2 linked regions of the Coturnix japonica genome follow. The protein of the gene in region 1 interacts with the protein of each later gene in a pairwise test. Links are inferred from orthologs where the notes say so. Each region holds a gene or a part of one and is shown on either strand. Other genes may lie near its edges.

What was found.
Region 2: the proteins of GRAMD2B (region 1) and TMEM43 interact in binary tests that used the Homo sapiens proteins (3 or more experiments, as listed by UniProt). The two-hybrid records come from large-scale screens. The link is inferred for Coturnix japonica from reciprocal best matches to the Homo sapiens genes GRAMD2B and TMEM43.

The regions. Positions count from the first base shown.
Region 1 is NC_029547.1:65,140,770-65,156,662, reverse strand, and holds the end of GRAMD2B (GRAM domain-containing protein 2B), read left to right. Parts: intron 1-935; coding exon 936-1,058; intron 1,059-2,105; coding exon 2,106-2,193; intron 2,194-2,482; coding exon 2,483-2,549; intron 2,550-3,237; coding exon 3,238-3,341; intron 3,342-6,859; coding exon 6,860-6,955; intron 6,956-7,818; coding exon 7,819-7,890; intron 7,891-8,011; coding exon 8,012-8,092; intron 8,093-8,752; coding exon 8,753-8,864; intron 8,865-9,910; coding exon 9,911-10,033; intron 10,034-10,218; coding exon 10,219-10,309; intron 10,310-10,708; coding exon 10,709-10,810; intron 10,811-12,124; coding exon 12,125-12,218; intron 12,219-13,579; coding exon 13,580-13,621; 3' UTR 13,622-14,809; downstream 14,810-15,893.
Region 2 is NC_029527.1:8,346,178-8,357,833, reverse strand, and holds TMEM43 (transmembrane protein 43), read right to left. Parts: upstream 9,281-11,656; 5' UTR 9,185-9,280; coding exon 9,173-9,184; intron 8,497-9,172; coding exon 8,347-8,496; intron 7,715-8,346; coding exon 7,580-7,714; intron 7,458-7,579; coding exon 7,363-7,457; intron 7,230-7,362; coding exon 7,180-7,229; intron 5,716-7,179; coding exon 5,646-5,715; intron 4,949-5,645; coding exon 4,878-4,948; intron 4,718-4,877; coding exon 4,596-4,717; intron 3,995-4,595; coding exon 3,920-3,994; intron 3,841-3,919; coding exon 3,739-3,840; intron 2,284-3,738; coding exon 2,166-2,283; intron 1,780-2,165; coding exon 1,577-1,779; 3' UTR 1,544-1,576; intron 1,240-1,543; 3' UTR 357-1,239; downstream 1-356. Other genes in the region: CHCHD4 (mitochondrial intermembrane space import and assembly protein 40), read left to right, coding at 9,417-9,438. UniProt on the Homo sapiens protein: May have an important role in maintaining nuclear envelope structure by organizing protein complexes at the inner nuclear membrane. Required for retaining emerin at the inner nuclear membrane.

The sequences.
Region 1 (15,893 bases):
TTTTTCCTCTATGTTTTCTAAGATAAGAAAATGATGAGGGAAGGGCTTTACTATATCACTTATTGCTGACTCTGTTTTCTTAGTATGCATTCCTGGAACAGTGCTATGTGCTATGAAAGGACAGTGCACTGTGAGAGTTCAGATTTTGTCAGAAAAAAATAGCCCACACATTGAGTGGGCCCTTCATTTGTTAATTTTGTGCAGATCAAGTCTCGTGGAAGAGATAAGTGAGGCAAAATACAATCCAGCGTCCTCTTTGAATGCTGAAGCACAAAATGCTCTGTTAAGAGTTAGGTGTTGTCATGCAGGATGTTTATCTCCCAACCTGCCAATTAAAGTAATTTCCATTAGTCATCAGATCCAAGTTCTAAAAATGAAGTGCATTTTTCCTAAATGAGGCTTTGCTTTTGAAAAGGAAACCAGAGCTGCAAATGTCATGAGCACTGTAATATCCATGGCAAGATTTCAGTCTGCCTCTCCTCGTGACTGAAATTCCAGTGCTGTTAACTGTTGAAATTGTATAATCATAAAACCATAGAATGGCTTCAGTTGGAAGGGACCATAAAACCACCTGTTGCCAACCCAGTTGTCTTGAGCGGTGTTGTCATACAATAGAGCACCCCTCCAACCTGGCTTTGAATGCTTCCAGGGATGGGGTGTCCACAACTTCTCTGGGCAGCCTATTCCAGGGCCTAACCACCCTCTGAGTAAAACTTTTCTTCCTATAAACACTTCAACATCTTTCTAATGAATATAAAGTCCTGGCATAACACCGCCAAGTCGATAGATACAGACTTTTCAGGACCTCAGTGTTTAAGATGTCATAACTTTTTTTTTTTCCATTTTGTTCAATAGTGACAATATGTTAAGTGGCATTTGGCGTTGTTATGGATCCTGCAGTACACATTGCTTTCTTTCTTTTTTCCCCCCTGCAGTTCTGACGGAGAAAATGGAACAAGTGAAAGAAGAAAGCCAGGAAAATCACCTGCTGGTTTGCTGCAGACCGCTAACAATGAAGTGGAGCATTTTGATGATGGGAAGAAAGTTGATTTTGCAAGGTAATGGTCAGGAACATTGATAGGTTTCTGCTAATGAAAAAAAATTCAGAATGGTTAACAATCCACTCAAGAAATTGAGAAATCATTGAGAAATGAGATTTATTGGATGACTCAGTTGTGGGTTAACTTGCACCCTAAGCAAGTAAGAGGAGAGCAGAGCCTACATCCAGAGCCTGCACTGTCAGGTTCAATTTGTTATAGAAACTGAAGTAGTAATTAAAAAAGAAAACAAAACACGTGAAGGACAAATTATGCATTCCTTTCACTTTCAACTGGGCAGACAGTGCAAAAGTCAACCTGGCAATGTGGTTTTGGTCACAGGGCAGGTAATTGCAAAGCAGCACTTAATTTTTTTGAGACGTCTTTGAAGAAATACGTAATAACTTGTTATGTAAAACTTACATTTTGACACTTCAGAATTTCATTTCCTAGTCATAGAATTTATTTTCCTAGTCATCCTCAGGGATTTTCCTCTGTACTCTTTCTAATTCAGAATTGTTTGGTTTTTCTTATGCATTTGGTTGTTTGGTTTTTTTTTGTTGTTGTTGTTCTTTTCTTTCAGCTTAAATTGCTAAGGGTGTAACAGGTACAACAACTTCCTTTAAAACAGGCACTTATCGTTCTTTTTCATTTATTGAAAACTTCACTTCCAGAATTGCTGTCTGCCTCATTGATTTCCATGCACTACAGTGTTTGCAGCCACAAGTAAAGTGCGTAGTGTTTCTTACATTGCCTGGAAACAAACAAACATGGAGCTAGGCACTATGATAATCCCTTAAACCGATAAAAATGCTTAGAACTTTATTTCCCTTACAACTAGTGGTTTAAAGTATTCCTCATAAGTTAAAAATAGGCCATTATGGAGGACTGGCCTAATTCAAGACTGAGACAGACTCCTATGCATTGCTATTTAGTATTTGAAAAATCAGATAGTTATTATTGAAAGATTAATGTGTTTCACAGAAAAATATGTCCTGTTGATAACAGAGGTTAAGCATCTTACGTGGCATGTTTTGTTTTGTTGTGCTGTTTTTTTATTATTTTCAGGACAAAGAGCAGTACAGAAGGTCCACTTCTGACAGTGGAAAGCAAGAATGATTCCAAGATTGAAAGGAAAAAACATATCTCAAATCAGGTATGGAGAAGATGGACTTTTTTTTGTTGATGAGTGATAAGAGCAAATACAGAACTGGAAGAACACCCTTGTTTACTAGTATTCTAATTCCTGGTTGGATAAGGATGTAGGTTCCTTTATTCATCTTAGATCAAGACAACAACTTAACAGGCATATAACAAAAATGACAATTTACTGTAAGACAAATGGGTAAAAGGAGAAGAAAACGGGAGTGCAGGAAGTGGTATGAGTATTGTAAGAATATCTAACAAGGCATGTGTCTTTGGCGGTGGGCCTTTTTGTTTTTTAGCTGAAGGCAAATGCACACTTTCATAAGCTGTTTCTGGATGTTTCCATTGATGAACCACTAAAACAAAGTAAGTATAAAGACTCTTGTTGTTGCTGACTGTGGGTCAAAATACTGTTAACATCTGCCAACTCTGGCAGCATATATAAAGCAGTACCCAAATTTTATAAAGCTTTAACTCCAGCTGCCTGGAGCTGCAAGGCCTTTGTTTGCATGCAGGGGTGTTTCTGCTACAGTCTTGTAAAACTTACATTTCTTTATTCTTCATGCATTTAGCATCTTTTGGTATTATAGCTCACTTTGTATTTCTTAACAAAGCAACCTAGTTCAGTGTTTCTGTAGCTTGTCTAAAACTTCGCAGGAATCTAGGTGGTACTCTGTCCAAAGAGTTTTGGCTTCTGGGACTCTGCTGCATATTACACTTTTCAGTCTTTATTCTTCATATATTTTGATTTAAAGTAAAGCTTGTGAAATCTTCTCTGTACTTGTAAAACTTTTTCAGGATATCAAGGTGTAGAGTCACAGGATCATGTGAGTTGGGAGGGACCATTAAAGGTCACCTAGTTCAAATGCCCTGCAATGATCAGGGATGATTTGACAGTGTTTATCAAATGGTATCTATCCAAACAGGTAATGGGAAAAAAAAAAAAAAAAAAAAAAGAAAAAAGAAAAGAAAAGAAAAGAAAAAAAAACCCAAAAAGCAAAAGAAATGTGAATGTGTGTTGTGTGTAAAATTACAGAATATCACTTTATCCCAGGTTTTACCTGTGCTCTCCAGAAAGAAATTCTTTACCAAGGAAAGCTCTTCCTTTCTGAAAACTGGATTTGCTTCCATTCCAAGGTTTTTGGTAAAGACACTAAGGTTAGTGCAATCATTTCTACTTAATAGTAGTGCCGTTCCTTAGAAATCTAGTCATCACTTGAAATTTGCTTTATTATGCAAGGCTAGAAAACTTCTAATACCTTCAAGTGTTACTGAATAGAATGACTATGTCCAAAAGTCTCTCTAGAACAGAAGTGCTATTTCTGTTAAAGGCCCAGTCTTTGCTTTAATGATTTCCTGTCTGAAGAAAAAAAAATATTTAAGAACTTGACATGGAATTACAAAGGCTGCCAAACCCACACAGCAGTAACTGTACAAAAGTGGCTCTCTTGGGTTACCTTTGGAAAAGAGGGGAAGGTGGCAGGATGAAAAGTATAAGGACTAGTTGGGGAAAGGGTGGGAAGGATCGAGCACACTCATTAACAGTCAGTTAAATAAAAAACCTCCAACTTTCTTCAGAGTGGAGCTGCATGCCTGAGGGGATTCTTCTATCTCTTCCTTCTGTTCTACATGAACAGAGAAACTCTGCTAGGTTTACACTTGTGAACCTAGTGTAAAGAACAGAAATGGGACATGAACAGCTGGGGCGGTCCTAATTACTCTTTTCTTAGTACAGACATGACCTGCATAAGGTTGTATCCCCTGCTGATGAATAATTTGCATGTAGATAAAATTACACTGGGCCCAAAAATATGCATGATCTATTTTTGTTGATTTGGAAGTTTTGGGGTCTTTGTCAAAATAAACTCTTCTCTGTCTTTGACCTGTTACTGTGAAAAAGCATGATATGTGGTAAGGATTTGTTTGGCTTCTTTCTGTAGTATTTCATTGAGTTAATTGCTTGTTAGATTAAGACCCCTTCTCAGTGAATCAGATGCTGAAACCGCTTTAGAGAGTTCACATTATCTTATTTCTTTGCTGACAGCTGTTGTGATGGAGCACAATGTATCTTCGACAGGGACCTTAAGAATGTAGAGTATGTTTAAAAAAAAAATGATTAATATTATTAGCCACACATTACTAAGACTGGCTCTGTAACTTGCTACATATTAGGCCAAGGAACTGGACTATTGTTTCCTAGATGATGGATTATATTAATAAAGTATTGGTAGTATGTTAATACATATGGTGTTGGTGTGCATGTCAGTGAAAGCCAAATAAATAAAAATTAATGAAGGATTGGATACCATCATTTAAGTTCATAGCATCTGTCCCATCAGGTAGTCTCAATAAAATTGAAGTTACTGTCTGTGTCCTGTGCAGCACAAATGAATGTGCATGGGCCTACTCCAAACTGTGGGACAGCTTTCAAATATTTAATGCTTGATTCAGTCACATATAGCAGACATAGATTTTTAGACATATCATCAATGAAACAACAGAGAAACTGGGCATATAATGAAGACTCATGTAATAGTGGAGGAGAAAATCAGGCCTGACACAGGCTTTGAAACAATTCAAATTTAGTCATAACCCAACTGCTGAGAGAAGTAGCAGGTCTACATATTCTATTAAGTTTATCATGCCAAGTTCTTCTACACACAGATTTTTTTCTATTGAGGCCTTTGGTGGGTGAAATAGTCATGGAAGGAGATTTGAATATGCAATGTAAACACTCTGTGTGTTCAGAAATAAAAGAATCCTTCTGCAGGACTTAGCAGGCTTTGAAAGACTTTGCAGTCCTTCCAGGTTGTTCTATTTTGGTTATATGTGTTGACCTGCAGTCTTTTCTTCATCATCCTAGTTGCTTTTCAAGATGCCTGCATATGAACTTGTTTCCTGAAATAATTATTACTCCAGATAGATAGAAATAGAACACTTGCAGTGATTTTCCCATTTTAATCTAATGCTTAGGTAAGAGTGCAGCAAGCAAGTACTTAATCCCACTTAAGTATTCTTTAGTCTTGATTACAGTAATGTTATCCATCAAAATTGCATGCAGCAGAATGCCATTAACATCTCTTACTTGAAGTTCTTTGAGGTGGGCTGAACCAATTAGAAAACCTCTAAGCCACATTTGCAATTTGCAGGATTTCTGCTGAAAAATCTTTGGGAGTGGTAGGTTTCATTTATTTTGGTGCTGTCATTTATTTTGGTGGTGGCAATGGTTGTTACGGTTGTTGTTGGTTTCTCTCAGCAATGCAAATTGTATTCTGACTACATGACAGTTCTGCTTTGTTTTGTTTGGTTTTGTCTTCCTGTCAAACAAGCATCATATCTCCTCCCTTCTTTCCACTCAAGAAGCAGCCTTTTTTGAACAGAAGTGTTATAAAATCTTTCTGGATCAAGAAAACATTCAGTTCAGGAAAAGTACAGTAGAGGATCTACTTAATTAACCTATTTTCAAAAGACTTGACCTCTAAAGCTGAGCAAACAGAATAAATAATCAATAGAAAATAGAATAATCAGCAGAAAAAAATGAGTCCAGATTTGCAGATTCTTAGACACAGGCTTAGGCCTATGAATAATATAATGTTACAGGTGTTGGCTTTTGTTGTGGTTGGCTTTTTTCTCTTTTTTCTGGCCTGCGGATGACAGAGGAATGGCTCGCCATGCTTAAACAGTGGCTGATTATCTTGCATCCAGATGAAACACATTTCAGATGAAGCCAAAAAACATATATATATATATATTTTCATTTAATGGCTTGGTATTGCTTTGCATTTATTATTCTGAACAAACATTAATAAAGTTTTATGAACTTGCACAGGGAGTCTTTACTCTCCTGCATTAATGTGTTTTTAGTTCCGTGCTCTGATCACTCAGCACTCAATCTATGGTCACTTTTAGTTCTGAATTTCTCAGGCTATCGAGACAAAGGTATCCGCAGCAGAAGCTGTAGCCTATCCATGTGTATCTTGTATAATTTTATTTGCCTAACTTTGTAAGCTTTTCAACTGCAAGTCAAACCAGCCATTCAGTCCTTTGTAATACAAGATTTACAGAAAGATCCCATGCAGAATATTATAACTGAAATACTCTGAATATGGCATAGCACCGCACATATTACCAATGGAGTTGGATAAAAGCACAAAGCAGGATGGAAATTTGGGAACTTTTCAATGTAAATGTAGGTAGTTTAGATGGCAGACACAGGAATCAGTATAAGTGAGTCAGAAAGCATGTGGGTATTGGATCTTTCAGTGATACTGGTCGACAAGCTGTTTTACTCGGCTGTTCCATGCAAATGAAAGGATCTATAGGTGGCGAAAAGAGCTATATGTTTATTCTTCAGTACGCTGTTGTCTGATTTTTGTTCCTAAGCAAAATGCCTAGCTTGAAGAATACTTTCTTCTGCAGATCTACAGTGAACAAAGCTTCTGGTCTTTTAAGTACATCTGATGAAAACAGAACTAAAAATAATTAAGAAATAGTATTAATCTGAAAAAGTACCTGTTCAATATGAATTGTTAGCAAGCAGGGACATAGAGGAGAAATCCTCACGTGGAGAGCACTGAAAGTATGGCTTATTACAGTTGGTAGGCTGGCTGATTATGAAACAGCATGCAGATTTGTATGCATGTACTGGGACTAATACTGCAATGGTCTTGTTGTAGATCAGCATACCTGTGCTCTCAGTGACACTTCTGAAGAAAACCAAGACTGCCCTTCTTGTGCCAAATGCTCTGATCATAGCAACAGTCACAGACAGAGTAAGTACACAGAGCACAATGCTGTTGTACCCTGCCTGCTTTCTTTTTCATTTTTCAACATCTTTTGTCCTCTCTACTTACTGGCACTCATATCATGAGAGATTCTTGAAGGTGGTTATTTAAGTAGGTAGAGGAATTGGTCACATGTAGTCGTTTAGATTTGGGATCCCAGTGGGTCTGGTTTCTTACCAGATAATTTGAGCTACTTCTGCCTCCTCAGGTGTCAAACAAGGGCTATGTAGAACTTGATGAGAAAATAAGAAATGGAACCTCTTGTTACTAGGTGTTGCCTGTAAACTATCATTCCTCATTCTTCAAGACTTCTGTGTAGTGGCACTTATGGATCAGAAACAAATGGGTCTGGAAGTGCATGCAGGGAGGGTTATCTGCCTTGCTGGCAGCTCTTTACAATGTTCTGACCTTTTCTTGGGTCTCTTATCAGCAATACCGTAGATGCAGCAAAATGCAGTTTCGCCCTACAGTCTCAGTAGTAATTGCATCAATCATTAGAAAATGTGATTATGCCAAGAGCAGCTTTAGAAGAAACCCCTTTTCTCTGCAGAAATGTTTTTTGGATTTGGGCAACTAATTTATTATTTTACCATGGAGAGTTTTTAAGACAAACAAACCAACAAATAAACATAATAGATCTGGACCATGTTGTAATTTTATGTGCCTGTTCTGTGTTCCCTGTGATTAACCTCAGGTCTCAGCCTCAGAAGGAGGGGAGGTTTTCCTTGCTACATGAAGGTTCTGGAAAGTAGGAGGTTTTGCTGATCAGATCACTGTCAGTTTTAGTGAGGTGAAAGGAAGCTTGTACTGTGTGTCTTTTCTCAGATGATTTTGGAACTTTTGTTTTTCAGTATATGTTCGTCTCCTTACTCTCCAGAGATACAACCTACAAGCTACTAAAATCTATATGTAGACATCTTGAGGTAAGTACGAATGGGAATGAAGAAATGCAGCTTTATGTTCATCGTTACTGTTTTCCCACTTCTAAGTGCTGGGCAATTGCTAGGAGTGTTTCTTGTTAAAGGTACTGCATTATTTTTTCAGGATACAAGTATGGGCAACAGTCCCAATCCATCTTCTGTTGAAAACAGCTTCAGGTCTGATCGTCCTACAACTCTGTCCCTGGTAAACAGCTTCAATATTTGCTCTTTTGTTGCGCTGCTCTGTGCATTGCCAATCCTACCTATAATGTCTGAAGGAAGGAGACCAAAGAAAATCATGATATCTGTTAGGAAAAATTCCATGAACTTCTTAACATTAAGAAGCAGTGAGTATGGTTAGCATAGGTATAGTTTGATCTAAGTAGATATATACAATGTATGTCTTATATACATTACAAGGTATGTATGCCCTACATATTTCTTTTGCTGTGAGATTTCACAGTTCTCTGTACTTAGCAGTTGGTTGCTTCCTCTGACATTAACTATTTTCAGTGTTTCTTGTTACAATCCTTGCACTGTGAGCCAATTCAAGCAGCCGAAAGAGCTGTTTCTCCACATGTGATGACCAGATTCTAACTCTAGAAATGACTTTTCAGGACTGTTTGTTTAGCAGTCTTCCTTTTACAGGCATAGTTAATGTCTTCACTTAAACTAAGGCAGGGAATGAGTCTTAAATTCAGGTGGTTGCAAGTGGTTTGCTTATTTTGCTAACCCAGTCTCAACATCTTGATATCAAAGGTTATTTCTGGTCCCAGTTTTAAACATGTAATTATTAGTTCAGTTTCTACAGGGAATTCAGAGGAAATAAGGTTAATTAGACTTGCTGTGACTGTTTCCCCATCAGGATTTCAACGAAGACTATTCTGATCTGGATGGAATAGTACAGGAGCAGAGACAAGAGATGGAGGAGTCCAGCAGCACAGGCTCACAGACCCCGGAGCTAGAACGCTTCCAAGGTGAGTGGGGTCGTGGAGCTCCAAGAGGATGCGAACAGATTAGCTCTCAGTTTTGCTTCTGTAATTCCTTCTGCTGTAGAGGTAGATCTGTGTTCTCCACAATCCTGCAGGCTGGTTACGTTTGGTCTTCCTCCAAGTTGCCAAAGCTGAATTTCCCTTGTTATATTGCTTTGCAGTCCAGAATTAAACAATGCCTTTTCAGCATCAGGCTTGATTTATCTCTACTGACTCCAACTGCATTCACCATCTATTTCATGTACTTATCAATTGTGCTGTCAAAGATATAGCTGAGCAAATGTTCATGTTTCCTTCCTCTTCTTCTTTCCCCTTCCCTGATCCTTCTCCTTCCCCCTTCTTTTTCATTTTTAATTATAAATAAATAAATAAATAAATAAACTATTGTAAAATAGCTCAAGTTATAAAGAAATGTCTTCTAATCGGCGCAAGTAAATGTTTGTACTGTGCTGGATTTTAGTAATCAAGACTATTTCTTAACATGACTTTGTGTTTCTGGTTTATAAACCTTAATTCTATTCTTTCTGGTCATCTGTTCATTCTTAACTCTACTATTTGTAGTATCATACTCTTCAAGTTTTTCACCTTGTTAGCAGGAACACTGTGTGGAAACACAGTGCACATAAGTTGATAAATATGGCGAGACTCATTTTATGAAGGGTATCTATGTAGGTTATTTAAAGTATTCTAGGGTGTTAGTCTGCTATGCAGTTACTATATATTAACGTATTCATATGTTGCTGTTCTGTTATTTTTCTGGTTCTGTCTGAACACTGACCTTGAACAATGAGAAACCTTTACTTTGAAATGAAAGATTACAGATACAAAATATATATAACAATTTTCAGTAAGCCTAGTTTTAGTTAACTCTTCATTTCTCATATGTCTCTTTTGTTTAGTGGTATGGTTTGGGGTTGTTTAATTTGATATTTACTGTGTGTGTATGTTTTTAATTGTTAGACTAACTCAAGCTACAAATGTTTTCCTTTGACCCCATATTTCAGCTTTATTAAAAATCTTTCTTTTGACAGATTATCATGTTGTTGAGACACAGACTCACTTGAAAGTTTCAAAGACTGAAACAAAGTCTGTCCGCTCTGATGCACGCAGTAAATGGGTGCCTGAAGGGAAAGCCAGAAACTGCATTCGAAATGGTAGGAAATTAAGGGCAGATCCTCAGCTGAAGTTAGTTGGGACAAATTCATGTAGTTATGTCAGTTGACATAATATGGAAGATTTCTTTCTTGTCTGTCTCTCAGTTTATATTATCTGTTGCATGCTTCAAAATGCCATTGTGTCTGGTGTTTCCTGATCAAAATAACACGTGTTCTTTCCCTAGCAGGTCATTCTGAACCTTTCGGATTCTTCCACAAAGTTAAGTTCCAGAAGCTCTTATCTCTGAACCACATACTTATATTTTATGCAGTTCTGTAAGTAACCAATTGATATCAAGATTCTTGAGATTCTCAGACTTTTTAAATGTAGATTAATATTATCTCAGCTTTGCTTGAAAAAGTGGAAATTGATTAGAATTTTGGCCTTTATATCTTTTCAGAACTAGAAATGCCAGGACAGACCTATTTAACAGGCCTTTTACTTCTAAAAGCAAAGGGTTTTTTGGTTCAGGAGTTGTTGAAGAGTTTAACTGCTTGCACTTAGCAGAGCCACACTCAAGGTTCAGACTTTCAGAACTATCTGAATGCCACCAGTACCTGTGCAGCATGATGATTTAAATGTCTTTTAGTGTTGCATTTGTGAGGTATGTCTGATATTCCCACATCCATATAAACATAGCTGATATATCTTTTTTTTTTTTCTTCCTCTTACAGTGTCTGTGTTTTAATATTTTCTACCTTCTACATGAGATATAAAATCAATGTCCTGGAAGAACGTCTTATCTCCATTGCATCTTTTGATTCACATGTTAAGGAGTAAGATGGACTCTATAACCCTTTCAATTAAGAAAAAAAGAAATTACTTCTCCAGTATCTCATAATAATCCAGTCTTTTCAGAAACTTCTATGTTACTGCTGTGCCCTCATGAAACTTAATGTAGTTCTTTTTGTCTGCACAAGCCTCATCTCACAGGTTTCCTTTCAAGACTTTTAATGCAAGCATGTTGCATGGTGTAATATTGCTTTCCGGATATTTCAGATAACTCTGATAATAGCAGTAATGTAAACTGCTGAAATGAGCTTCTTTCCAGATAATGATTCTGTGAGAAAGCTATGACTTTGGTCTTAGTGTCACTTCATTAACCTACAATGACAGGTGGTATTTTGCAATCTGCTTCTGACTTACTTTTAGGGTGTTTTATGGAGCTTTGAGCTTCTTTGAGCGGGTCATATGGGTGTCCTCAGAGAACTTAGGACAGAAGGGAGTTCAGCTGGATGCTGAAAGTACAAAGAGTTTATTTAGTATTAAATTTGGATTAACTCTTCTCTCGCTCTTATGACTTGATTTCTCTGAGCTCCCCTGGAAAACATGACATAATCATTTTGAAACCTCTCTGCAAATTCTGCTGTGACACAGCACAGTTAGTGATGCACTGCCTGAAAAAGGGGACAGCTGTACCCAGGTGGAATGGAGCTCTCTGCAGAGTGTTTCAGACTTGGTCGTATTGTTGTCCTGAACAATGACTGTGCTGCATAGGCTCCACAGGACACAGCTGGAAGCAGCATGAGTTGCATGCGTGACTAAGCCAGGCTCTTAAGAGGAAAGAAAAGGAAATGGTGATTTATCTTAAACAGGCTTGCAGCTGTATTTTACCAATACAATGGGGAGAAGGGTAAACTTACTTAATAGTAGGCAATATTAAAAGCCATTTTCCCCACTTTTTACTTATTTCAATTAACAGGATCATCTGAAGCACTCTTGCACAGAAAGATCCTGTTTTCTGTTGTTCTGATCCTAAAGCAGGGATACAGGATGACCTGATGTGCACTTGTATTGTGTCAAAGGGCTGCGCTTTTTGGTTTTCTCTAAGTCACAAGACACAGAACTTATGCAGCTCTTCAGCTTATTTCAAACTGGAAAACTTGACAGCTATTTCCTCTAAGCTTCTGGGGAGTGAAACAACGTAAGGAATGTAGCCAGAAGTACAGAAGTGACTCAGGGCTTTGTTTCTGTAAACAAGTACAGTTCACAGTGTTACCATTCAAACTGTTCGTATCTGAATGTGTCTTTCAGCTCTGCTTTCCATTTTCTCATTTCCACCTCACGAAATTCTTCATTCTGTTTGACAGACATCCAGTGCACCAACGTTTGGAGTCTCACCTGCAAATTAATGCTGATGCCTTCTGTGACGAGTTAACTGCTAATCTTATGAAATTGGAAAAGGTAACTTTGTAGGATGTGATGCAAAATCTGGTAACACTCATTGGGTTCTGCCTGAATGTCTTGCATGTTTTACTGGAGGGTGCACTTTTTGGGGGGCTGTAAGCTAGCTAGTGTATTCATATTCTCCACCTGGAAACACAGCAAAAGGCAGCCGGATTCTGGAGCATTCAGCTGTTCGCAGATAAGTGACTCTTGGTCCTGAATTAGAGTCTTAAGTCATGCACTTATTTCATTTAGTGTCTACAGAACTGAACCCTTGTCACTGCAAAACAGTCCAGACTGCCAACTGCTTCTCAGTCAAGTTAAATGAGTACTGCATGTAGCTGATGCAGCCGGTAGTTGGAACATTGTTTGGCTCTACTGCAAAACTGGCTGAAATCTACTAAATCATATGCTCAAGTTACTGCAGTTGTTGAACTGCTTTGTGCTCGGTGAGAAGTGCTGGTGATTGACTTCAGCTGGCTTCAATAGCAAAACTAATGCAAAAGTTTCAGTGCAAATAGTCATCTCTTCCCCCCTTCTTGTGGGGCTGCAGCATTATAAACTACTTCACAGAAACTACCTAGGTTAAAAATGAAAAATCACACTTCCAGTTTGTAAATGTTCAGTGCTAAAGTATGCTAAAGCTGTCTTGGAAGGTAATTTTCCACTGTGGCTAAAGCTTCTGTGGCTGCTAACCTGCTAGTTACTAAGATACTGTGATCACACGTGCCTGGGGATGTGTCCCGCTGCATTCCTCTCTCTCTACTGTTAAGAAGATGGAGAACAGATAAAGCAGCTGTTTAAAGCAGGGCTGTGCCAATCATGCTGAAGATGTGACTGCTTTAAATTGCCTTCAGTGTATCTGAGGGAATATAATCAATAGTGCATGGGCATAGGGGCTTGTGACTGGAAGACCTTATTCTGCTGCATACATAAGCCTCTGCAGCTGAAGCTGATCTAAAACTATTCAAATGACTGAAACTTAGAAGCTGTGACTTCTATGTCCAAAGCCTCGTACTGTGTTTTGATTGAGTTCAAAATTTTGAATGTATTGAAAATTTCTTTCTAGCTCTAGTTTTGTTCTCCTATCTCCTATCTGATGAAGAAGAGAACCCATGGGAGGTTGCAGGAGATACCTGTAAGCGATATCAGCTTGGTTTCAGTTGCTCAGCTAAGCATTCTGCTGACTGATCATATCTAGATGCTTCCTTTGACTCCTGTCATTTAATATGAATACTCTCAATACAAAAAGCACTGGTAAAAATAGCTGTGACAGAACTAACAAGCACACAGAGAATATACTGAAGAATGTCTTGATTTTCTTAAGAATGTAGGATAACGCTTTCTGTTTCCCAATCATTTTTGTCTCTTTTTCTAAGATACAGAATAACTTACAAAAACTGCTTGAAGATGGTGAATGAAATGTTTGTGCTCTTGGACTGCTTCAGACTTCATTCATCCCGCTTGACAAACAGATCCAAAGGAGCTCTGCTGGACAGAGTTCAAGCTTCTTTATTTTCAGTCCAAGCCAAGGTTAAACTGCTGATGCTCATGTCACAACACAGAAAGTCATTTTATTGTTCAACAGCTACATTTGTGTGCATGTTTTCAAAATAAGGGGTTTTTTTTTGTTTTGTTTTGTTTCCCTTCTTTGTTCTGTGTGAAGTAATTAATGGATTTTACAGTTTGTTTGATTTTCCTTGCACCAGTGCAAACCTGATGCAACTCCTTTTACCTCAGCCTTTCTTTTCTGCCTCTTTTCATGTACTTGTAAATAAGAAATTCAGGCACAATTCGTATGCTGGCGTGTTGTGTGAATGACCTGGTGTGTCTCACAACCGTGGCTATGGATCAGGGCTGTGCTTTTTTCATTCTATCCTATCATCCCAAAGATTAAAACCAAACACCTCTGGGTTTGATTCTGTGGAGTGCTGAATGTTTGATGTCTGCTCGGGCTCTCAGGTGCTGCAAAAAGGCTCAATTCCATGCTCTGTGGCACTGTATCTCTGCTGAGCATAAAGTCCATTTCTACTGGGGATTCATCGTACATCAAAGTCAAGCTTGAAATATGTGTGAACTTGCCAACTCAGCATTAAGTTGCTTGTGAATAACATTATGGGCATGACATGTCTGTCCGGAAAACCAGCTGTTTTTCCTGCCAGCTCATTAAGTCTCTGTCCTTTAAGTTAATTTATCAGTGTGGAGATCTCAGCTAGCTTTCCTTAGACCTGCATGGAGTCTTGGTTGGCTAAGAAAGTATATTTCATATTCCGGTTTATATAAGTCTAGTCCTGATATGGAACAGATATTTCCACATAATAGAAATTACTGAAATTATTTTTATTGCCATGTTGTTAAACTGAAAGAAAAGGTGGACGTCTGCTTTGTTATATCACAGTATTTTTTCACCTTACCTAATGGGATAACTCTTTTGGATTTTTTTTTAGCTTTCTGATTCACAGAGCAGGGTGGTTCATCTGAAAAAGCAATATTTAGGTTAACGACCACTTGTATATGCAATATAACTGTTTATATATGCTCTGCATTTTATAACCATTTCTGTGAAATGTACCTTACTTTGTTTAAATAAACTTTTTTGAAACAAGCAACTCAGTGCTGTGACTTAGGAGGAAGTTTTTCACACAAGGTGGTGACGCACTGGAACAGGTTGCCCAAGGAGGCTGTGGATGCCCCATCCCTGCAGGCATTCAAGGCCAGGCTGGATGTGGCTCTGGGCAGCCTGGGCTGGTGGTTGGTGACCCTGCACATAGCAGGGGGTTGGAACTGGATGAGCACTGTAGTCCTTTTCAACCCAGGCCATTCCATGATTCTGTGATTTGTATCATGCTACTTCCATCCATCAGTTTTAGTCTAACATGATCCTCATGATCTGAGTAGATTTACTCTTCACAGTGCAAAGTATGTGTAGAACTCTGGTTATAAATCTGTAAGATCTCTTCTGTCTGTTTCAACATAGAGGCTGTGGTTCTATTTATGGTGCACTGAAAATTGAGGTCACAAGTCACTTCTGTCAAAGGAGTGCTTAGGTAATTTAATTACACCCATCAGCTGGTCTGAATTAGCTTATTGCTCGTGCTTTGCTCTATAAAAAAATGAGAGAGTATTACATAAAGCAGACAGGCTAAGCCTGTAGGCAGGCTTATCACCAGCCGTAAGCAAACAGAATGATTGTAGAGGTGAAAGAGTAATCCAAGGTAGGGGCTGCCCTTCAGCCTGTATGGCTGCATGCCAGGGGAGGTGAGTCTGGACAAAGGTGTGCAAGCAGTGTCTCATAGGGGGAAGAAGCAAACTGCAGTCCAGTGGAAGAAGCAGCAGTTAGAGCTTTTGAGTCTGGTCATCTCAGCTCACCAGGTCTTTGTATGTGGCAGCCTTTCCTTAGTTCTTCAGTTTGTAACCTCACTCCTTATTTTCCTACATGTGAAGTTTGCTCTGCAAGGAAAGCCAATGTTAGAGGCCCTTCACAGCAGAACACAAAGGGCAGCAGCTTGATTAGCGTTTGCAAAGAATACAAATGGTTTCATGTGTGTGTGATTGATTTCAGTACCGTCACTGCTTTCAGCTGACTGTGCATGCAGTTACGAAGTGATGCTCCCAGTTTCCTTTTACACCTGCACTTTCGCTTCCAGACTTACAAGCTAACAGTCAGCTGATCAACACTAAATAAACCTCTGG
Region 2 (11,656 bases), on another chromosome or scaffold:
AGAAGCCTCTAAAAAGCAAAAAAAAAAACCACCTGAATCCAGTCAAGATGAATGACCATATTTCTCAGATGATCCTATGGAGGGAAGGAAGCTACTATTTCTTAAGTAGTAAGAGCAAAGAGGAGTAAAAACACCACTGGTAGGCTGGAATCAGCCTTATCATTAAGCACATGGACAAGATAACAGCTGTGAGGTTACAGGTGATACAAAACCCAACTGCACATTTGCCTCCACCAACAGTGGAAAACTTGTTCATCCAAAGTTACAAAACTAATCCTCCACACGCTTGGATGTCGTTCCTGGATGTGAAATAAGCAGTGCTTAAAGGTAATGAAAAAGAAGCCTACAGACCAACCTTCTGAAAATTGTATTTTATTAAATATACAAAAAGCACTTCCATAGAAAAATTGCACCTTCATCTCCCATGTGCTAATGCTGGTTAGTTTCCTGCATCATGAAGATACATAGAAACAAATTTCCTTTGGTATGGGGAATACAGGCATAATTCAGCTTCAAAATGCATTCACTGAAGACATTATTTTTGTACCAAATTATGTTTACTTACAGAAGGAAAAACACATTGGTAGAGCACATCTGGAAGCCAAACTAGCTACCTAGAGAGACAAGGTTGCCTCTAAACTCAAGAACTATTTACAGAAACAAAACCTGTAAGCTTGAGCCATTGCAGCACTACAGGAAGCTGTTATAACACGATATAAAGCTCAAAATTCAAGCTACTACATCTATGAAATCTAATCAGGCAAAAATGTGTTCATTATTTAATTTCATAGAGGTCTTATTTTTAAAATTAAAGGCGAGTGACCTCTGAGTATCTCCTCAAATAAGGGCAATTCAGTGTTTTTAATAGAGCTGTAGCATTTTGGGTGCTTAACCAAGAACATCTTCACAGACCCTTTTAAAAGTTGAGGAAAGTCACTGCTTTTCTGACATATCTTCCTTGCCTCAAACCACTACTAACCTGGCCACTTGAGATTCCAAGCTACTTTCAAAACCCCCAGCTCAAAAGCATAAATGTTACTGAAGTATTGTGTCAAAAGTCGCTTCTCCTTTAATTCACTTTCAAGTAGTTTAGCCAAAGTAGTACACATGATTGTATGAGTGAGAAAAAGTAGCAGGAGGGATTGTCAGAGGCAGGTACACACACGCATTTCCTACGGATTCCACATCAGTCCATGTGATGAAGCTGGTACTTTGTCCATAATATATAAGGTGCCCCACCTGCCAATGAGAATTTGCCAGTTTTCAGATCAGGGTGAATTAGTAAGAGGTGAAAGACAGATGGTACTTTTACACTGACTTATAATGAATACAGATGCTCCCAAATGTTTTTGTTTTCTTTTTTCCTGAACTCGGTGTCACTGAATTCCTACAAGCAGCATTCTATTGTAATCTTTATCACAGACAATACGTTTATCAACAGCCACACTCAAGACCCCTCCCCAAATCTTGGCTCACGCTGCTGAAGCACAATGTACTGTAAGCAATGTAACCAAAACAGAAATGCACATAAAAAGCTTCTAAACGGGATTTAGTGCAGAACCTGAGTACCTCTTTCTCACTGATGCTTCTTTGGTGGAATACGGGATTTTGCGACCACAATTGGAACTACAGAGAGCAATCCGATCAGCAAAGCCCAGAGAGGGCGGTAGAAGAGCCAGCCAACGGAGATGGTCAGAAGTGACAGTGAGCTGGCCATGCAGAAGGCAAAAGCTTTCAATCCGATGTTAACCAGATCTCGAACAACAGGAAACCAGTCCACTGTGGAAAGAATTAAACAAGGGATAAAAGAGTTGATCATCATTTATTTACAAGGACTCCTTATTATGCCTGGGATTCACACAAACTATGGCGATCAAGAGGCAGACTCAAGTTATTATAAGGGCAATGGAAAAGGCATTTCAGGAGAGCATCCTCAAGGCATTTGATAAATAAGTCACATCTGAACATCTAAGACAACAGCATCCTCATCTCTTTAGATAAGAAGTCATGCAAAATTAAGTCTGAAGTCTTATCCAAGGCTTATGAGGCATCACAGACTCCTTCTGGCCTTCAAATAAATTCATTTCACATGTAAGCAACATAGAATCATAAACCGTACAGCATCCTATTTCTAAATTCATTTTAGCTTTCTGTCACCAACCTACCCAAAGTGTAAACAATCCGGGTCATTAGGCTGATGCCTACAAACATTGCCAGCCAGCCTGCTGCACGGAGGGCCCAGGTCTTCATGGTGTTACTTTCATGCTCCTTCTGAAACACCTCCTGAAAGCAAGAAACAGGCTGCATGTAATGATACTTAAGTTCTCTTGAGATCCAGCTCTTTCCAGTACAATATAGGAGCAAGTCAGAGTCAACAGTAGAAGATACATTGCAGCTCATTCCTCAGGGCCTTTCTTTTACATCAATAGCCAAGCACATTACACAAGATTTCAAAGTGCAGCAAAAAGGAAAGCTGCATTTATTTAAATAAAGACAGCAAAACACGCACCCTCAGGCACTCTCTGTAACCCCAATCAGAAAGCACAGAGTTTCAGTGCTCTTTATTGTGGAAAATAAGACTGCAGTAAGTACACATAACATGAAGGAAACACCTGATTTTGTTATGTTTGCAGCAAGACAGAACAGGCAATAAGATCCACTGATGGCTGAAGGAAAGGTGCATGAAAGAAAACAAGCAGTGTGTAGGAAAGCAAAGATAAAAAGGTATGTGTACATTTTTTAAAGCACTAAAAGCACCTATTTGCAAAAATGCCCCTTTTCCTCTATAAAAAAATTCACATACAGATGGCTAAGAAATAAGAAAACACAGGAAAGATAGAAAAATGTCTGATTGACAACTTGTATGGCTGAGGACTCTATAATTTATTCACTCTTAGCTCATTTCCAATTAACTAAAATTCTAATTAATGAAGATTAAGAGCTCACAGCAGAGAGCTGCTTCTACTGCTGCTCCCTTTCAACTTGGGGAAAAAAAAAGAAAAAAAGCCTTTTTGTCTGCTGTTGGCAGATACTGTAAATTCCTGACATCTGGAACTTCTACAGCAGGGCACAAAGGAATCATTAATGGAAATCAACCTACTAAGAGGAGTCAATGAATCACTAAATTGCCTGAGCATGCAGGATTTATTGGAGCATTATGCACTGCCTGAAGGCTCTTTCTCAGTCAGAGTAGCAGTAAACATTTCAAACAAGCCTAAACTCTCTGTTAAGAGAGGCTGAAGAATGGATAGCTCCTATGATTTGTCTAATTAAAGCCTGATTTTTACTGTTTTTGTGTATAACCTTTTCAAAAGCGTATGTTTGTGTATAAGTGGGAGGCTACCAAAAATCAAATCAAGCCAAAATGAGAAGGCACAGGAACAGTTCTTAGAGCAAATGATAGTCACCAGCAGCCACACAAGCTGACTTATTTTTTAATACAGTTACTTTAGCTGTAGCTACCTCTAAAAAGGGAAAGAAGAACAGAAGTAACTATAGCCAAATTATATACTGCTAACAGGTGAAGTACAGCTTTTTGCAGCAACACAAAAACATGAAGAAACTGGGAAGGAAAAAACAGGCTATAATGCTTTGACCTAGATATAGCACAGAGAAAAGCCAAAGTTTACATCTCCTCCTCTGCAACAGGCTTGAAGGAGAATTAAAGCTTATTCCATGTCTGCTTCTGCACTACGATCTGCAGTTTCAACCCTTTACTGGCATGGTGTGATCTCTTACCTCTACAGAGAGATCCCCAGAGTAGAGAATCTGAAGAACATCTCCAGACTTGGTGTGATATGGAACGAGTTGATCGCCTTTCTGCCGAGCAATCACAGTTACCTTGGAAGAAAGGCAAAGAATGTTAGTGGTTACTGAGTTGGGGACAGAGCTCGGATAACACAAATAGCTGAAGATCTACCTTATCAGGTGAGCCCAAGTGGGGGTCATGTCCACTCAGACCAGCATAGAAGAATGAGACACGAAGGTCTCCCACCTACAAATAAGAAGAATATTGGAAATCAGAGAAAGATTTCTTTACAAAGGAGAATCACAGGAAAGAAAACTCTTCATAGGAACACTTCTTGTATCATCACTTGTCTTGAACATTCGTGGCAAGACAGAGGATACCATGTAAGATAGCCAGGCTGCATTTTTTCTGGGCCTAGTTGATAGCCAAAACAAGACAGCTAAGATGTTTCTTTGCAATATTCTTTCTGATTTAGCTGCAGGAACATATTAACATCAAATAGATCCTACACTCATCCTTGCAATTTTATTTTTTGGCAAAGAAAGGCAGCACTAACTAGCAACAAACTTTGTACTCAGTAAGGCAGAAGTAGAAACCACCTCCCACATCATCCAATGTTGTTCCATCTAAAATCAAGGCAAACAAAAAAAAAAGAAATAAAAACAGAAAATGAAGGTGCAAGCAGGATCAGAAGCTTCCAGCAAGGAGTCACTCTTATTAATGGTCCTGTCCTATGTGATGCTCTGCACTCCAATTTTTACATGTTTAAAAAGAAATGGGACATACCCCAGCTTTCTTTTTTCACACAACAGTAATTGCTGCTTTGGTTTTATCTTTCTCATCTTACTTCTGGACGCCTGGGGTTCTCGCTGTGGTAAAAATAATCTCCTCCCCGGGTAACATCAGCATGTGGATCCTCAAGGTGTGCCAAGCTCAGCTGCTTGAAGTCATCAATCTTATCCACAAGGCCTAAGCAGAACAAAGAACCAAGCTCAGGTTTGGTGTTGAACAGACATTTTGCAGGCTGGCTTCCTGATTATCACTTGTAACAATCACCATTGCAGAAATAAGTGAAGTTTGCAGCTCTACTGGAATAAACAATGCAAAGTCAGTACAGAGTAATTCTTACCTTTGGAAAGGACAAAGCTGCCAACCTGGACATTAGGAGAAACAGCAGTAAAGGACTCCACAGCCATGGCACTGGGGAACAGACAGAGCTCCTGATTAGTTCCACAATTATGATCAAACTACTGCTTTACAGTATTTAATATAAAGCACAGTTCTAAGCTTCATTCAAGTCATGTTTGGGGTTGTTGGTTTGTGGGGTTTTTTTGCCAAATGGTTTCCTGCATCCTTAGGAACCAAACATGTGCTGTAAGAACGACAAGCAAGCTAAAACTTAGCACTAAAAGTGGTACACTGTAGCATAATTAAAATGCTGTAGGTGAGAGAAATACAGAACGGATTATATGTGGGCAATTGCTATAAATAAGCCTGAGCTCATACACGCTGCCTTAGAAGAACAGCATGCAAGTGGTATGGCAAGCTTGTGGGATGCTTGCTATTCTCATTCTATTTTTAACAGAAGAACTAGCAACAGACTAATAAAAGTAAAAAAGAAACCCATTCAGTTCTCCCATACACAATCCACATGGTCCAACTGTAAAATAGCAGCCTGATGTAGAGCCATTACTAATAAGCAGTATTCCATCAGGAATGTTGGATTCTGGCTCCATTAGGCAGCTTTGAACCGCTGTTTCATTTAATTTCTCTCAACTACAAAGAGACAAAGAGTTTCTATCCACTTTGCTACACCATGAAGATTTGTCATTGAGTTCTCATCATCAATCAGATTCACTGACAGAACCCAGAGGGACTGTGCTAGGTGGTAAATTACCTGGGATTTTTGTGTCCTATTTCTCGATCAAAATTCCTGCTGTTCACAACTTCGGATTTCCATTCAGTATCTAAGGAAAATGATATGAACATTGAGAAGAGAGCAACAACTGCCACTCAGATCTTAGTTACCGATGACACCTCTAAATCAATGAATCAGTTCAAATTACACTCATTTTTTATTTTTTTTTTAAATCAAGGTACACAATGGGATAGTCTATAATGATACTTAAATCTGACCTCCTAATATATTAACAATGAGTGGAGGGACTAAGAAAAAAAAGACCTTAGGGATAAAACTGTAACTCAGCATTGCATGGTAGAAGGTTTGCTGTTAGCATCTTCCCTGATCAGGCTTTAATTCCTGGCTCCTCTCTTTGGGAGCAAGCAAGGAAAAGCTTAGAGTTCTGCCAGAGCTAGCAGATTTCAGTGTAGTCAAGTAAGACAGAAAAGATACCTGTACATGCCACTGTCACATAGCACTGCCTCGATTCAGGCCACAGCATCCTCTCCACACCCCCAGAGCACATTCCTTATAGGTACAAGTAGCTTTTTTGCAACTCATACAAAACTAGAGTCCCTTTTTTTGAGCAGTCTCTGTACTAAATACATGCTCTATGCCTCCAGGGAGGAGAAGAGAGAAAGGAAGAGAGTTTGGCTAAACACTGGAGTGGGGATCACTGTAAAGGATATTCTAGTGTACCAGGTTTACGTGTCAAGATTTTTGTAGCTTTGGGGAGGGCTGCAGGGGTGGAAGAAGCATGAGAAGCAAGAGTAGCGGGGAGACTGTAAACCCACACCCACACTGCTTCCTGCCTCACTTAAGACATCAAGTGCAACCTGAAGCAGTAACAAGGGCAGTGATGTCCAGATTGACTCTGAGCCTGGAAAATAGCGGAAGTAACTGTGTTTTGCTACTAACCAAATCACTAATTAAGTATTTAATTTTGTTGACAATAGGTACATGGTAATATACAGACTTCAACTGGACACCATTTCTGAGAGCATAGCTTTTTTTTGGATCTTTTCTTTAACAGCTGTTCCTCATATCTCACGCCCACCACTAGCTTTGCTCCTTTGCTGTCTCTGTGCTGCACAGTCTCATGCTTCACTGAACTGGAGTATTCTTATTATCACACCCAGAAATCACTGCACACCTACATTACATGGGCTTTAGTTGTGAATAAATGAAGCACAGAGAATAAGCTCCAGAGATACAATGACTCAGAGTATTTTTCCACCATCAGGTAGATTAGAACTATCCTCCCAGTTCTCCTCCTGCCAAAAAAGCATTTGCCAAACGCCACAACACATATCAGAAGGTGCTGGAGGTTTTCATTAGTTCATGTGAACACTAAAACTCTCAACATGCTGCCATCTGGCTTAGCAAAATAACTTTTACTTATTTATTTATATAGTTTTCTTTCCCAAGGAAAAAAAAATAGATGTTTTTTTCAAGAAAATCAAGATAGATATATAGGAAAGCCCAAAGTTTCACACATAAAAACAAAAGGATTTTCTGCAGATCAACTTACTATACGAGTACTTTGTCTCTTTCTTGATCTCACCATTTTCTTCATACTCCCTGCAAAGAAAAAGAGTGAAGCAAGAAGCAAAATAGCACACACACAAACCAGCTCAATACAGAATGCACGTTTCAACTGACCCTGTTAATAAAACACTCCTATAAACAACTTTTAAAGACCTGTTTCACTCACCTGGAATCTTCATATTCAACCCACTGGTACATTTCCACTTTGCGCTTAAGCTTGACAGCCTGGACGGACAGCCCATAGCTGGGATCAAACAAAGGCTATTTGAAATACAAAGAAAACACAAGTCAGTAGGAATTAGTGAGGCATCTGTGAGCATTTCAACACTCCAATCCCTCCAAACTTGAAATTCTCCCATATCCAAGATGTTAGCTTTACTTACCTTTGCTGTGCTCAGAACGCCTGCTAAGTGCACCAGACTCCCCTCATTTTGTTGAGATACCCTGTGAATGTTGTCAAGAGGGATCACAAGAGAAAGTCCCTCATCAAGAGATTTAGCTGTCCTCAAAGCTCGTCCCTGTAGTCACGAAAAGCAAAATCAAGCTGTGGAGAATCAATGGCATATCATTATCTTATGAAAATAGTAGAAGACAAGTGATCTGCAGAGCCCAAGGACTTCTCAAGACATTCATCCTCAAGGCATAATCTGAAAACACACTTGTAATTCACCATTCTCCTCCAAGTCTAAAACCAAAACAAAGTAACGAGAGTAATTAACACCCTCACTTTTGCAACACTGAATGAGTTCCTATAACAAAATCCTAACAGCACTAGAAATGAATTCCCTATGTTATCTCAAGATAGAGACAGAAGAACTGAACGTGGCTGGCTCGTTCGGCTTCTTTCTATAGCACTACAGCCTCTTTCACCGGGAGCTCATAGGTTTGGGATCTTTTTCCTCACCATACACAGACACTGTTTCTATTACACACCGTTCCACAGCAAGAACATCTATGACTCTGTGATTTCATTCTTACATCCCAAGAATAAGCATCAGCCTCACCCGACACGCTGCCTTCTTTACACTGATGAAGCAATAAAACTACAGCATGACCATTTCCTTGACCCTATACATACAAAACTAGTTGAATGCCACCTTGGCCAACCATTTTAAAGCTGTATATAAACTCTTGATAGTACTTCACTTACTTCATTGGTAAAAAGAAGGTAGAAGGACAGAAGAAATGTCCCAAGTCCTATAAGCATGCCTCCAGAAGTCTCGCTGAGCCTCTCCAGGAACCCTGGCTTGGCCTCGCTGGTGATTTTGACATGTTCTTTTTTGCTTCCTGTGTCAGAAAACTGTTGGAGGTAAACCAGAAATGTAATATTGGTATAAAAGCAGATGGTCTGTTTCAAAAGGAGCTCTTTACCTTTGCTAAATTGCTTAACCACTGCTAAACGGCACTGCTTGCATTGGAGCTGAACCTTCCCACACTTATTAAATCACAGAATCACAGAATGACCCGGGTTGGAAGGGACCTCAAGGATCATGTAGTTCCAACCCCCTAAATGCCTTGTCCCAATTTTGATACCAGAAATACAGCCAGTAAATAGACCTTAACTAAGAAAAACAATGCCTATAGCATTGGCAAAGCACATCCCTTCACACATCCTTCAGCCTGTCTCTACGTTCCCTATTTGGTATCCACACCCAGCGACAAACTGAGTAATACTCCCAAATTCCAGACTAGCTACAGCACAGCTATAAATACCACAATGCAATCCCACAGCACACCCTGCCATAACTGCACCTTGGGGGACTAGAAGAGCTCTCAGAACAAACTTCTGCTGCTATGCTGAGCATTGCCACATTAGAACACCAACAACACAGGGTGTGAGGAGCACCACAGCTCTGTGCTGTGGGTAATACCCAAGCAGCAATAGCGGGTAGAGAGGGGAGGAGGCGAGGCCCCTCTGGAGGAGCCAAGCGGGATCTGACAGCTATTGGGATCCCCCACAGGAGCTTATCACTTACATTCCTCGACATCTTCGGCCTCTTTCCCTCACAAACCAGAGAATCCACCAACGACAACCGCTCAGCAGCAGCCGCGCCCACCTCGATGTGAGGGCGTATGCTTCCTGGTGTTAGAGTTCAGTGTGTGTTCTTCCGGAGGTCAGCGGGCACAGCGTGGAGCTGCGGCGGTGTTGGAGGAGGAGGGGAAGGACGCGGAGCCGGTCTGCGATCGCACTGAGTGTGAAAGGCAGCGGGCGGCTCCGCCATGTCCTACTGCAGGCAAGAAGGTGGGTGCCTGCGTCCTCACAATGTCACCCTGAGGCGCGGGGGCGGCGCCGCTCGAAGGGTGGAGGGGAGGCCGCGGGTTGTGTGGGTGTGGGGCACCACACGTTTCATTTCTAACCTGGGGGATGCATTTATCTTTCCCCCTTTGTGGATTGTGATTTATCTTTCCTCCCTTGGTGTGGAGTTTCATGCTGCAAAGAATGTCCTGAGTGCTGCTTTGAAAGGATAAACTCGTCACTCTGGATAGTGATTATATACTGTGATAACTTCTGGTTCTCTTTGCCTTATTATTATTAACTCACTTTATTGATATCTTGTATTTTTACCAGCTCTGTCCATTGCCTTATGGCATCCTACAAAATGAATGATAGCTGCAGTTATAGTTCATGTTATAGTTGTGGTGATGGGGTTATAGTTATACTTCATGCTAGCAGTGATGATATTTCATCCACTTCTAGTTCATTTCATGTATGAAATCCCAGCTGTTCTGCACTGTAAAGTTGGCTGGAATGCCACACGGCTGACAATAGTTTCCCTTTTTGAAAGAATCCAGGTTTATCTGCTTTTCACACCTAGTGTTCAAGACCAGGTTGGATGGGACCCTGGGCAACCTCATCTAGTAAAGGTGTATGTTTGGTGGCCCTGCCAGGCAGGGGGGTTGGAACTACATGATCCTTGAGGTCCCTTCCAACCTGGGTCATTCTGTGATTCTGTGAGACTGAATGCAAAGAAAGGGAATTACTGAACGTTTTCTGGTAGAGGTCATGCTGAAGGACAAGAAGATGCTAATTCATAACGTGCTTTGTCATTGCAGTGGCCTTTCTGAATTTGGAGCTGAAGTCTTTGGGGTGCTCATTCCAGTCTGTGAATGCTGTGTTATACATTCAGAAAAGCTTCAGTTAGATGTTCTCTTCTGCCTGTATCTGCCTTAAAGCAGTTTTCTACAACCTTACAGAGTTGTTGGGAAACTTTGCCCTGGTTGCCAGCCAAGCCTGTTTTTTTTTTCCCCCTTCATAACTACTTTGTTAAATCAAGAGTGACACAAGAGCAGGAAGTACGCTCTGTTTTTCTGCCCTTGTTAATGTTTGCAGCACCTTTCAACACAGGCTGCTCTAGACCGTTAAAGTGCTCTTTAGTATTTAATTCACATAATAATTATAGACTATGACATGACTCTGTAATGGAGGCTGCTGATCTTAATTAATATCCTGCTGAATGCTTTCTGTAGCACAGGAGAGTTTTTCCTTTCACTTTTGGTCCATTTCCATCCAGCCTCTTTAGCTGAATTTGTTCTCCCAAGAGAGCAGTAGTTTCAGATGGTTTCAAAACAGCTCTTTAACTTTGCAATCCAGTGAACTGTACAGTGATTTACAGCTGTTACAGTACTTTGCTGTGAAAAGCAGAACTCTAGAGCGAAAGGATTTGGTAGTTTCTATATATTCTAACATGTAAATGGGTAATGAGTATTACTTATGTAATGAGTGCTTTAAAAGAGGACTTCCCAAACTGTTTTATGTTCACCTCATCCTCACTTCCTTCCTGTATAACATAATAATTAGTTTCTTCTACAAGGTGCTGTGACTTTAATAATTAGTTTCTTTTACCCACGTGGGATTTGTGGCTTCATATTCAGTGGCAGTGTTGCTTAAGGTACTTCATTTTGGGTTGCTTGCACCCAGCTCCTGTCACTGTGCTGTGCTGATCCCTGACTCGGTTAAAGAGGGGAAGGAGCGGAGAAGGTGGTGTTAAAAAGCAAGTTCTCTGTGACATCTGTTAAATGCTGCCTCAGCTTGGAAATAGTGTGCAGTCCTTTACTGCTTCCGTGAGTCCTGTATGCTGATTATGGTCTCCTTTAGAAACAAATACCTGTCTTATCACATCTCTCTTCAGTGCAGTCTCTGTAGGCATCTATTTGCATTGCATAACTGTGCCATATGCAAATATTTATTGTAAATCTCTAGTGGGTTATGACTTTTTCAGTTCTTATTGAATATTGAGAATAACTTCCTACGGTTACATGGGTGTGGTACAAAGACAATGGGTTCAGTTCTATTCTCTGTTCTAGATAAATTACTACTCATCTTTTCAAGCGTAGGTTGATTTTCTCCTAGGCCTTATTTCCAGTTCTTTTATAACTTTCAGTACCTTCCCTTTGAATACTTTCCCAATTCTCTTTATACACATTTTCCTGTGAACCAGCAACTTGTAATTGAAGATGCT